2 linked regions of the Drosophila melanogaster genome follow. The protein of the gene in region 2 interacts with the protein of the main gene of each other region in a pairwise test. Each region holds a gene or a part of one and is shown on either strand. Other genes may lie near its edges. The genes, in order: Golgin104 and CG7785.

Region 1 (5,836 bases), on a different chromosome or scaffold from region 2:
CCTACATGGGCAAGGATAATGGCGGCAAGGGTGGCATTGTGGTTAACATGAGCTCGGTGGTGGGTCTGGATCCAATGTTCATCATTCCCGTTTACGGAGCCACCAAGGCTGGCATCATCAACTTCACCCGGTGCTTGGCGGTAACAAGAATTTCTTACATATCTTTTGAATTAGGTTTTTCATTTAAGTCTCTTTCTTAATTAGAACGAAAAGTACTATCAACGCTCGGGCATCAAGTTTGTGACTGTTTGTCCTGGAGCTACAATGACGGACATGTTCACCAACTTTACGGAGAAGATCATCTTCCCGGAAACGAGTGACGAGACCTATAGGATCCTGGATAGGCTAAACAAGCAGAGTGCCGCTGATGTCTCTCGATGCATTCTGAATGTCCTGGAGAAGGACAAGAACGGAGCTGTCTATGTCATCGAGGGTAAGCGCGTTTACCCTTTGGAAATTAAGCCCCAGTGGACGGGCAAGGAACAGGCCCTTTAAGTGGGTTAATTCGTTCACATCCTAAACACATGCATTTTACAAATATGAAGTTATTATGGACACTAGTTATTTAATAAACAAACGATGCACAGAAATAAGTTCTTGTGGTGATTAGTCATCCCGCCAGCTGACCAGCACTTCGTCCGTTCGAAATCGCTGAGTCACATAAGATTCCTCAAAGGGCATCCTAGTGCCAGAGCGGAACATTTCTGCACCAGCATGGGCAATCATTAGTCCGTTGTCTATGCAGTAACGTTCATCAGTGGCAAAGAGTTTGCCTCCGCGTTCCTCGCACATAATACGCATCATCTCCTGGAGTCGCTCATTGCAACCCACACCTCCAACTATAAGGACCTGAAAAGAAGTCGGTTAACTCATAGATTAATTTCGGAAAACTGTTGCAACCAACCTCATTTGAGCCGCAGTGTGCCATGGCGCGCTCTGTGATCTCCACCAACATGGCGAAGATGGTCTCCTGCAGCGAATAGCAAAGATCGGCTTGGCTGTAATTATTGACCTCTTCTTCCTGTGGCTTTTTTCTCTTATTTTGCCTCTTGCCCGGCTCTGCCAGGTCCTCGATGTAGGATAAAATCCCCGAGAAGCTGACATCCATGCCCTTAACCACATAGGGCAGTTTAATATAACGATTGCTCGACTTGGCCAGCTGCTCGATGTTGTAGCCCGGACTAGGATCGTTGGACAGCTTAATGATGCGGGCGAATCGATCCAGGCAATTGCCCACTGCAATGTCTATAGTTTCGCCAAAGATGCGATATCGCTTATTGGAGTAGGCAATAACCTGTGTGTTTCCACCGCTCACATAGAGAACTGTAGGATTCTGGGCACCGGTGATCAGGCGACCCATCTCGATGTGTCCAATGCAGTGATTTACGCCCAGCAGCGGGATATTCCACAAGAGCGACAAAGTGCGAGCCACAATGGCGCCAACCAGCAAAGGAGGAGCCATTCCTGGGCCTTTTGTGTAACAAATAACATCTAGATCAGAGGATTTCAATTGGGCTTCCTTTAGACTGGATTCCACCAAGCCCAGGATGGCTTCCCTGTGATGTTTGGCCGTTTCCTTGGGCAGGAAACCTGTTGAATGATTGGTTATGATTAAATCTGTACTAGCCGGCGGGTTAGAATGTGGCAATACCTTCTCCTGGTGGGGTAATGTACGTTCTACGTACGTTCGCCAGTACTTTACCATCTCGAATTATGCCAATGCCAATTTTATTGGCACTGCCTTCAATACCCAAAGCGCAAACCATGTTTAAAATTCTAACAAATTAAGCAAATTGCAATGTAAACAAACATTAGTGTTACCCTTCGCGCCGAGTGGCAGCAATGGTCATACTGCTCAAGGAGGGCTGCCAACTTTTCCAAACTAACAGCTGGTTGCAAATATCAAACTTTTGTTGTATAGCAAAAGTACGCGAAATTCATTGTAAAATTTAAATAGATGATCAAATAACCGATCCGATAATGGAATCAGCGCAGGCAACACCGCCGGCTGAGATGGAAAATCCGGCCAGCGTGGAAAATGGTGATTCTGGCCGGGATTCTAACCACATAGAGGGGAAAGCAATTGGAGACGTGGATATGAAAGCGGATTCCATTGAACAGCAGCTGGAAGAAAGCGATGTGAAAACTGAGTCTAATGGAGATCAGCTTACAGACCAGGATGAGGGAAAAATAGAGCAGGATCTCAAGGCAGCCGTACTGGAGCAGGTGCCAATCGAAGAGGAAGGACTAAGTCTGCGATTCAAGGATCTGCAGGCCCAGGAAAAGGTGAAGGAACTGCAGCAAACCCCTTCGCAACCCCCACAGAACGACATCCTATCCCATGTCCACTGCTTGGCCCAGCTTGAGGAGCAGCGGCGCAACTACGAACAGCAGTTGGAACAACTTCGTACGTCCAATGTCCAGAAGGATAATATGATCACGCTCATTCAGCGGGAGAACGCCATTCTGGGCAAGGAGAAGCAGGCCTGCCGCAAGGAAATGGAAATGGCCAACAAGGAGAAGGAAGCCACCGTCATTAAGTTCGCCATGAAGGAGAAGCTACTTATCGACGCCAAGAAGGAGAAGGAGGCGGTGGAGAAGCAGCTGGCCGAGGCCAAAAAGGAAGTAAAGAATGTGTCCACCAGATTCCTGGCTGTGAGCGAAGAAAAGTCCCGCATGACGTACATCATCGATGAAAAGGTGGGTGGGAATACTTTGCTGCTTCTATAATTCAACGAAAGATTGACTATCAAATAATTGCTTAATTGGCAATAAAACTAATTCTTCTATGAGTTATACAAGCTCCAATTCCGAATTTTGTGCAGATAACAAATCTCTTATCATAACATTTATCTTTTCCTTATCAGTGCAATGAAGTCAGAAAATATCAGAGGGAGTGCGAAAAGTACAAAACAGAAATGGGTCACTTGGAATCCAAGCTCAAGTATCACATAAACAAACTGAACATCGAAACAGAAGCCAAAGCGGTACGCAATGATTACCTAAGCTTATATTTGATCTTCACTGAACTTGGTTCCCATTTTAGGTTGTAGAACGCAAACTGGAAGAGGAAAAGAATGCGCCCAATAAACTGGAGGAAAAGGCAAATGGTTCGATTATTTTTTCAATGATATATGTTTAACTGGTCTTACCATTCGCTTTTTATACACAGAGAAACTTAAAATGGAATTTGAAGCCAACACAATACTCTTGAAACACGAGATTACCAGCAAGACTGAGGCTCTGGATAAGCTCACCAAAGAGCAGCAAAAACTAAGCGCAGCCAACAAAGAACTGCAGAACCAGCTTCAGGAGATCACCACGGAGGTAAATCAAGTTTTGGAATATATCTTATCTTTTTTAACTATTTTAAAATTTTCTTGTGCAGCATAATCAGCTGACAGAGGAGTATAATCGTTTGCGAGAGCTGCACAATTCCGTAGAAGGTTCATACAGTGATGAGCTGCTTAACTCCGCAAAGCTCAGGGGGCAACTGGAGGAACTGCAGCTTCTGCGTACTCAGAACACAATGTAAGTTTAAGGAAATGTATACATTAGAGGCAGAATATATCCATACAATCCCATTTATGTTTAAATGATAATTTTCTTTGTAGAAACGAAGAAAAACTGATGGACCAACAGAAACGAGTCCAGAAACTGGAGGCTTTGGTCCAAGACAACGAAACGGACCTGGAGCAACTGAAAGTCAAAAGGCAGGAGCTACTCACAATTAACAAGGAGATGAGTGAGCTAATCGTGCAGCTGCAGAATGATATTTGCCTGGCCAAAGCAAAGGTGAGTACAAGTAAAAATAAACCAAAAAATGTACATGCCCCGGGTGAGGCTCGAACTCACGACCTTAAGATTATGAGACTTACGCGCTGCCAACTGCGCCACCGAGGCTTTGAATGGCTAGCAATTCTAAGCAGTTGAGATAAATGCCGGTATCAGATGCATCCTAAACCATACCATGTTCAAGGATCTGATGTTATTTCCTTTATTTTGGCAGGCGCAGGGACTTGATGCTGAGAACAAGTTACTGAAGCAGGAAAAGCTCACCTACGACACCAAGTATAATCAACTGGAGCAGCAACTAAGTTTGGAGGCATCGGAGAAAAACGAGGAGCGACTGTTGCTGGCCAAGCATTTGTCCGAAAAGACGAAGATGTACGAACTGACCAAGCAGAAGCTGGAGGATGTTCAGGGTGACTTTGAGGCTACCCAGCACAAGCATGCCACCGTGCTGAAAGAGCTCCATCGCGAGCTGAACAAGTACAAAAGGGGAATTACGGAACCGAAGACACCAATCAGCTACTGCAGCAACTGTCAGCAGGCGATCAATGGGTATCCAACGGAGAATCCTCAACAACGGAGTCATAGTCGCTCCAGTAGCCACGGCAGCATGCACAGCGGCAGTCGACGGGCCAGCGAGTCTTCCGAATCGGAAACGGTGGCCAGTAGTGCCACCACCGTGCAACAGCCGCCACCGCAGCAAGATCTCCAGGCGGTACCGTCCAAAAAAGTCCTCGTAGAGCGAATTCTGCGACTGCAGCAGGCCACTGCCCGCCAAACCGAACGGATCGAGTTCCTGGAGAACCACACGGCCGCTCTGGTGGCCGAGGTGCAGAAGAAATCCAAGGTGGTGCAGCACTACATGCTCAGGGATCAGACTGCCGGCGCATTAACCACATCGCGGAGCGATCAGAACAAAAGCGAGTTGGTCAAGTACGGAAATGGTATCATGGCAGCCATCTATGGTGGTGGATCATCGAAGACGGGAGGCGAGAATAAAGCCATGTCCCTCGAACTTTCTCTAGAGATTAACAAGAAACTGCAAGCTGTGCTCGAGGATACGCTCTTGAAGAATATTACGCTGAAAGAGAACCTCGATGTGTTGGGACTCGAAGTGGATAATCTCACGAGGAAATTGCGCTCCCTGGAGGGCAGTTGCAAGTAAATGCCAGTCTTCTTATTCCATAGTATTCCATTCCAGAGTCTAACCCGCGTGTAGATAGTGTACAAATCAAATGTTCGTATGTTTAAGTGTATAATATATGTATTTAATATTTCAACAACGTCCCCAGGCTTATAATAATCCTTCGTAAAGCTTGGCGCTCACGGGTTTCGGCTGGCCCACACCAAGGGCAAAGTTAACAGTTGGCTTTTCTCCATCCTTGGCTAATCTGGCCATTTTGTTGTCGGTCAGTTTGTAGTGGACCTTCATCTGGGGATTGGGGTTGCCCGTTTCCTCCGATACCAGTTCGCGGAGCAGAGGCGGAAGTTCAATCTTGGTGGGCAGTATCACTGGTTCAACCTTCTTCTTGTTGTTCAGATACTTTGCTTCCTGATCCTGCGGCACCAGTTCGTAGTCCGCCTTATAGCTGGTGCTGTAGATTTCCACAGGCTTTGGCTGCGTTACGCCGCGCCACGTTTTCTCCACAGTGACCCGCACCTTGCGGATCTCGCCGGGCTGCTCGTCCACGGACTGCACCTTCAGAATCCGCATGTAGCAGGGCTCCGGATATCGCTGGAACATGTTACGTATTAGCAGACGGCCCACACCCCAGTTGGGCAGGTTTGAGACCAGCTCCCACAGCGTGTTGCCGCGAAAGTCTGTGGTGCGACCGATGTACTTGATCACTTTTTGGGCCATTTTACTGGGTTATTTCACTATTTTAATTGAATTTTTGTTGCAAGTTATAAAAACAGTGAGTTTGCCACTCACAGGGAAGGTCGAACAGCTGTGCCGGCTGGCTTAACAGGGCTGTTAAAACTTAACAGAAGGCTGTTATGAACAGTAAATTGTGTGTGTTGGCAATGCTGCGCGGCGATTTTA
Region 2 (4,473 bases):
GTAGGGTTCCACAATAACCGGAGAGATTCTAGGAGCAAAAAAAAAAAAAAGTGCACATGAGTAGCAGAAAACATACCCAAGCCAATACCTTACGAAGGCGAAGGATAAACGAGGAACTCCACAACAGTCATCTTCTTGCCAAAGTCTTCGACCAGTCTCTCCATGATGCGAGTCCCTAGCCCGGAACCAGAACCTCCGCCGATTGCTCGAAAGACCAGGAAACCCCTGAGATTTCTGCAACGATCCGCCACGCGACGAATGGCGTTCATGGAGCGATCCAACAGCTCGCTGGCCATCAGATTGTAGCCCCTGGCGAAGTTACTGCCACTGTCATCCTTGCCCGTGATCAAAGTATCCGGATGAAAGAGGTTGCGGTAGGAGCCGGTACGGATTTCATCTGGAAAGGAAGATAAAAAATTTATATGACACAATCCAAGCTTCTGGCGGAAACTTACCTATCACTGTGGGCTCCGTGTCGATCATGACGAGTCGAGGTTGCACACACGGCTGATGGCTGGTGAACTCAAAGAACGTGAGGAACGAGTCGTCCATGGGCGACTGGGTTAGTCTTCCATTGGCCAAAATGCCGTGCTCCAGACAGAAGAGCTCCCAACAGGCGTTGGCTATCTGCACACCGGCCTGGCCAATGTGGATCTGGATGATCTCCCCCTTTCCGGACATGTGTCATATCTTAATTTTAACCATTAATTTCCTTTCTCTGGGAATGTAGTTTTCCAAAATGTTCTAAAATCAAATCGAATTGACAATCTAAACAAGGAAAACTTGCTACACAACGGATTAAGTACATAACATTGATTTATTGTCCGCGCGCGGATTAATCAGTTTTCGAAGCGTTGGATACGTGTAGATACAATTTATTAGATATACAGATATATTCTTATATTTAGTTAGGTAATTCCGTGCTCGAGTACGTTGCCGTTGTAAATTGGAATGTGTACGATGAAGTCAGAATTGAATTGTGGCCACCTAGTCCTACAAAAAAATTCATCTGTATCTGTATGCAGATACGCGTATCTCTGTGTATAATACAAATGCTACGTCAAGCTACGTAAATAATTTACAAAACATTAATAAAATTATACAAATACTTTCGGTTTGGATAGTGCAAGGACTAGAGAGTTTACAAAGTTTATACACCTGATGTCTAAATGAGAACAGAACAGTGCATTTTACGACTATAAGTAAATATGTGGTGAAAATCAACAAAATCGATTAAGATATGTGTACAAAGTAAATTGAAATAATTTAATAGCTGTTTTGGTTGTGAGATAGAATTCAGCTTGGGAACTTTTCTTTTTGACTAGAGAAGAAATATGGCAAAGGAATAACTAAAACTAAAACTAAAATGTGTAAATAATTTGTTTTATACTGAAAGTTCGCATTTTAAAACTTAATCTAGAATGCATATTTAAAATGTCATTCTTGTAACTTAACTTTTACATTAAATAAATAAAGTGTTACTAGACAATAATGTATTTCATTTTTTTTAAAGGTAGTTGTCCGCATTGGCAGAGAAAGTGCCACAAAAATTACTTGAATGAAATGCGTTCCTAAAGTCCTAAAATGCACCGTCTTTTAGTTATTCTTGTTAATGCTTTGTTCTCATGCTGCTAATTTGTTCAAGGCTTTTGTGTGGACTATCTAAAGAAGTGACTGTTCCAATAGAATGCGTTCGAATCCTGGTGGTGGTCCGTGTGAAAAATTATCCAAGATAATGTCCAGAATGGCGCCATTGCCCACTAAAAAAATTAGGTTAATTATGGTGATAAGCTTCTCTTAAGAGTACGAAAACTCACCATAAATGACGGGAAATAGTGCTGCTCCTCGTACATTTCGAAATGGAACCTCCAGATTCTTTCCATTGAAGTAGAAATTCAGCTCCACGTGGTCAAAGGCGACGCCCACAATGTCTCCTTCATCGGGAAAATCTCGCTGTGGCGATGCTATCAACGAATCACCGATATCCACATCGGATGATGCCACTCCAGTGGTCATCAGCAGATCTTCCTGCTGCAAATCCTCGATGGCAATGAGTCCGGCCGCTTTGGCAGCGCTATTGTTCAGGATACCATTGCTCGTCCTCGCTGGCTGAGTGGTGCAAGCAGACTGCACCACTGGTCGGAACTCCTCGCGGTCATTGTGGCGTGTGGCATTATCGGAGCACAGGCACCAGGACTCTCGATCCCCGCCGCCGCTCTTGCGACTGAGATCCGTTTGACGCGTTGCCAAGCCCACCGACCAGCTGCCGCCGTGCTGGATCTTCACCTCGAAGTAGGACTTCGATTGGACCAAAGGCGCCGTGGCCAGGACGCCGCCAGTGCCCGTTACGCGCAGTTGGTGTGACAGCAGGATTACATCAGGTCCTGCCAAATGGATGATATGATATACATATTATTAGTAAGATACAAGATGGTTAAGCCTGTTGAATGAGAATATAAGCACTTCTATTGTATGTACATATATATTAATATCTGATCACGTATCTGAATTGTGCGATAAAATTGGGAATGTTGATATCTTTATTGGGGTATCACTTATTATCGAAGCTACATATCTTTTGGAAAAACACATTAGTTCTCTCGCAATCGCTTCAGTTGACCATTTTAAGGATAGTGTATCTTAATCCTTCTGAATTTAGTGTAATTTTACCCATATGCGCTGCATCCAGGTGAACATCGGGCTCCCGCAGGCGACTGGTTGCCGTCGGTTTCCTTATGTGTCCACCATTGAGACAGGTGCGTAGGCAGCAGAACATTCCCAAATCTATGAAGGTTTTCCGACTCCGAATCTAGTTTTAATTTGGATTTTTAAAAATCGCCAATAATTTTCGCTTCTTCGCTTGGTTTTGTTTTTGTAAACAGCTGTGCTCTTTTTCCAGCTGATGGTCATACTGAATTTGCATTTTCTGGTATATGTGATAATAATGGGTAGAAGAGTGACGGATAGGTGGCGCTATAAATGAATAATTAGATGCAACCAAATGCAATTGACACATTTGTAAATAATTTATACATGTTTGTTGATATTTCAATGTTTTTTTTTTTTGGCAAATAGTTTAGCAACAGCTATAGAATTAAGAAAAGTTTAAGTACGAGCGCCACCTAGTTTTCAATGCGCTTTTTAGTACCTAAAATGTACGACAAGAGTGCGTTGAAGAAATGGCGCTAGCGAGTGTCCGGAAAAGAGCAGAAAGAAAAAGAAAAGAAGTTGCACGGCGCCTTAAATTTAAAATTTAAATTATTATATATTATCTATAACAAATGCAAATAAGTTCTTTGTATAAATAATACCTCTTTTCAACATCTTTCAATTTTCTTATGCATTAAATGTAATGCAAAAATGGTGTTTATTTAATTGTTGACGCAACTTTACAAATAGTCTTAGTTAGTTCAGATTCTATTCCTGTTGGGCGCACTTGTCGTAGTTGGTGACCAGTTGGCGGTACAGATTGGATACCCTGGCGCTCTTGTGGCACACGGTTCCACCACCACGATGCAACTGACCTTCTTGCCGGTTGATGTCGCCCACACAAATCCAATCTCCGCCGCCAACTCGCCAATGGTAGATCAAAATGCCTGTGGGACGAGATACCGCCCACTTGGAGTGATCTTGTGTGGTCTTAAAGTCCACCGATAGCTCCGGATTGGAAATGGATTCCACATTGAGAACCTTATCGGACTTATCGCAGCTATTCGGTAAGTTGCCGGCACCGTCGCGCCACGCCTCCACAAAAAGACTGACATCCAGAGTGGGTGCGACCACATCGGCGTACAGCTCCACATTGGCGCGTCCACTCTTGCCAAACAGCCGGAACTTCTTGCCGTCCAAGCTGCGCACCTCCAAGTCCTTCTGGAACGGTGATTCCGTCCGCCACTGACCATGCAGAGCCCTTTCCAGGCTCGGGAACAGCTCATCGGAGCGAGTGGCCAGCGGGTTGCGTTGATAGTAGAAGTGCGGTTCATTGTACACCAGAATCTGACCAACCTTCTCCAAATCCTCGCCCTTCAGTGTGACGCAGAGCATGCTCTGTGCGTACTGCTCGCCGGATGTGGGATAGCTGTAGTCCGGAATTGTTGGAAATTTGGGCACCGAGTGGACAATCCAAATAGCCGTCTCCCCATCACTGGCCACCACTCCTTTGGCATGACCACCGCTGCTGAAAACCGTGCCATTCGGCTGTTGATCGTTGTAGGCGGCCAGCAGAGTGTGGCTGGGATCGTCGTTCAAGGGGTTAAGGGTCTGGGCAGGCAGCGATAGGGGATCACTAATGAACTTTCCCGACATCTGCCAGGTGTCATAGTTCTGGCTGGTCACGTACAGGTACTTCAAGCCACTGGTGTCCTTGCCCAAATCGTTGTGCTGGTAGTGCTTGGGCAGTTTGTAAAGGTGCCACCTAAAATTATAAAGGAATATTTGAAAAAAAATTATTAAATAAATTAAAAACATGTTTAT

Evidence for each region.
Region 1: the proteins of CG7785 (region 2) and Golgin104 interact in a two-hybrid assay, tested with the Drosophila melanogaster proteins (one large-scale study listed by BioGRID).

Annotation. Positions count from the first base shown.
Region 1 is NT_037436.4:16,347,984-16,353,819, reverse strand, and holds Golgin104 (golgin 104), read left to right. Parts: upstream 1-1,868; 5' UTR 1,869-1,980; coding exon 1,981-2,700; intron 2,701-2,867; coding exon 2,868-2,987; intron 2,988-3,046; coding exon 3,047-3,110; intron 3,111-3,172; coding exon 3,173-3,327; intron 3,328-3,388; coding exon 3,389-3,531; intron 3,532-3,614; coding exon 3,615-3,795; intron 3,796-3,830; exon of another isoform or gene 3,831-3,903; intron 3,904-4,009; coding exon 4,010-4,957; 3' UTR 4,958-5,073; downstream 5,074-5,836. Other genes in the region: Pdh (photoreceptor dehydrogenase), read left to right, coding at 1-140, 205-495; Tcs3 (Threonyl-carbamoyl synthesis 3), read right to left, coding at 607-849, 905-1,590, 1,652-1,766; mRpS34 (mitochondrial ribosomal protein S34), read right to left, coding at 5,087-5,653.
Region 2 is NT_033777.3:18,020,017-18,024,489, reverse strand, and holds CG7785 (uncharacterized protein), read right to left. Parts: upstream 2,891-4,473; 5' UTR 2,777-2,890; coding exon 2,671-2,776; intron 2,385-2,670; coding exon 1,818-2,384; intron 1,761-1,817; coding exon 1,663-1,760; 3' UTR 801-1,662; downstream 1-800. Other genes in the region: CG7794 (uncharacterized protein), read right to left, coding at 1-28, 94-397, 456-681; DNaseII (deoxyribonuclease II), read right to left, coding at 3,418-4,414.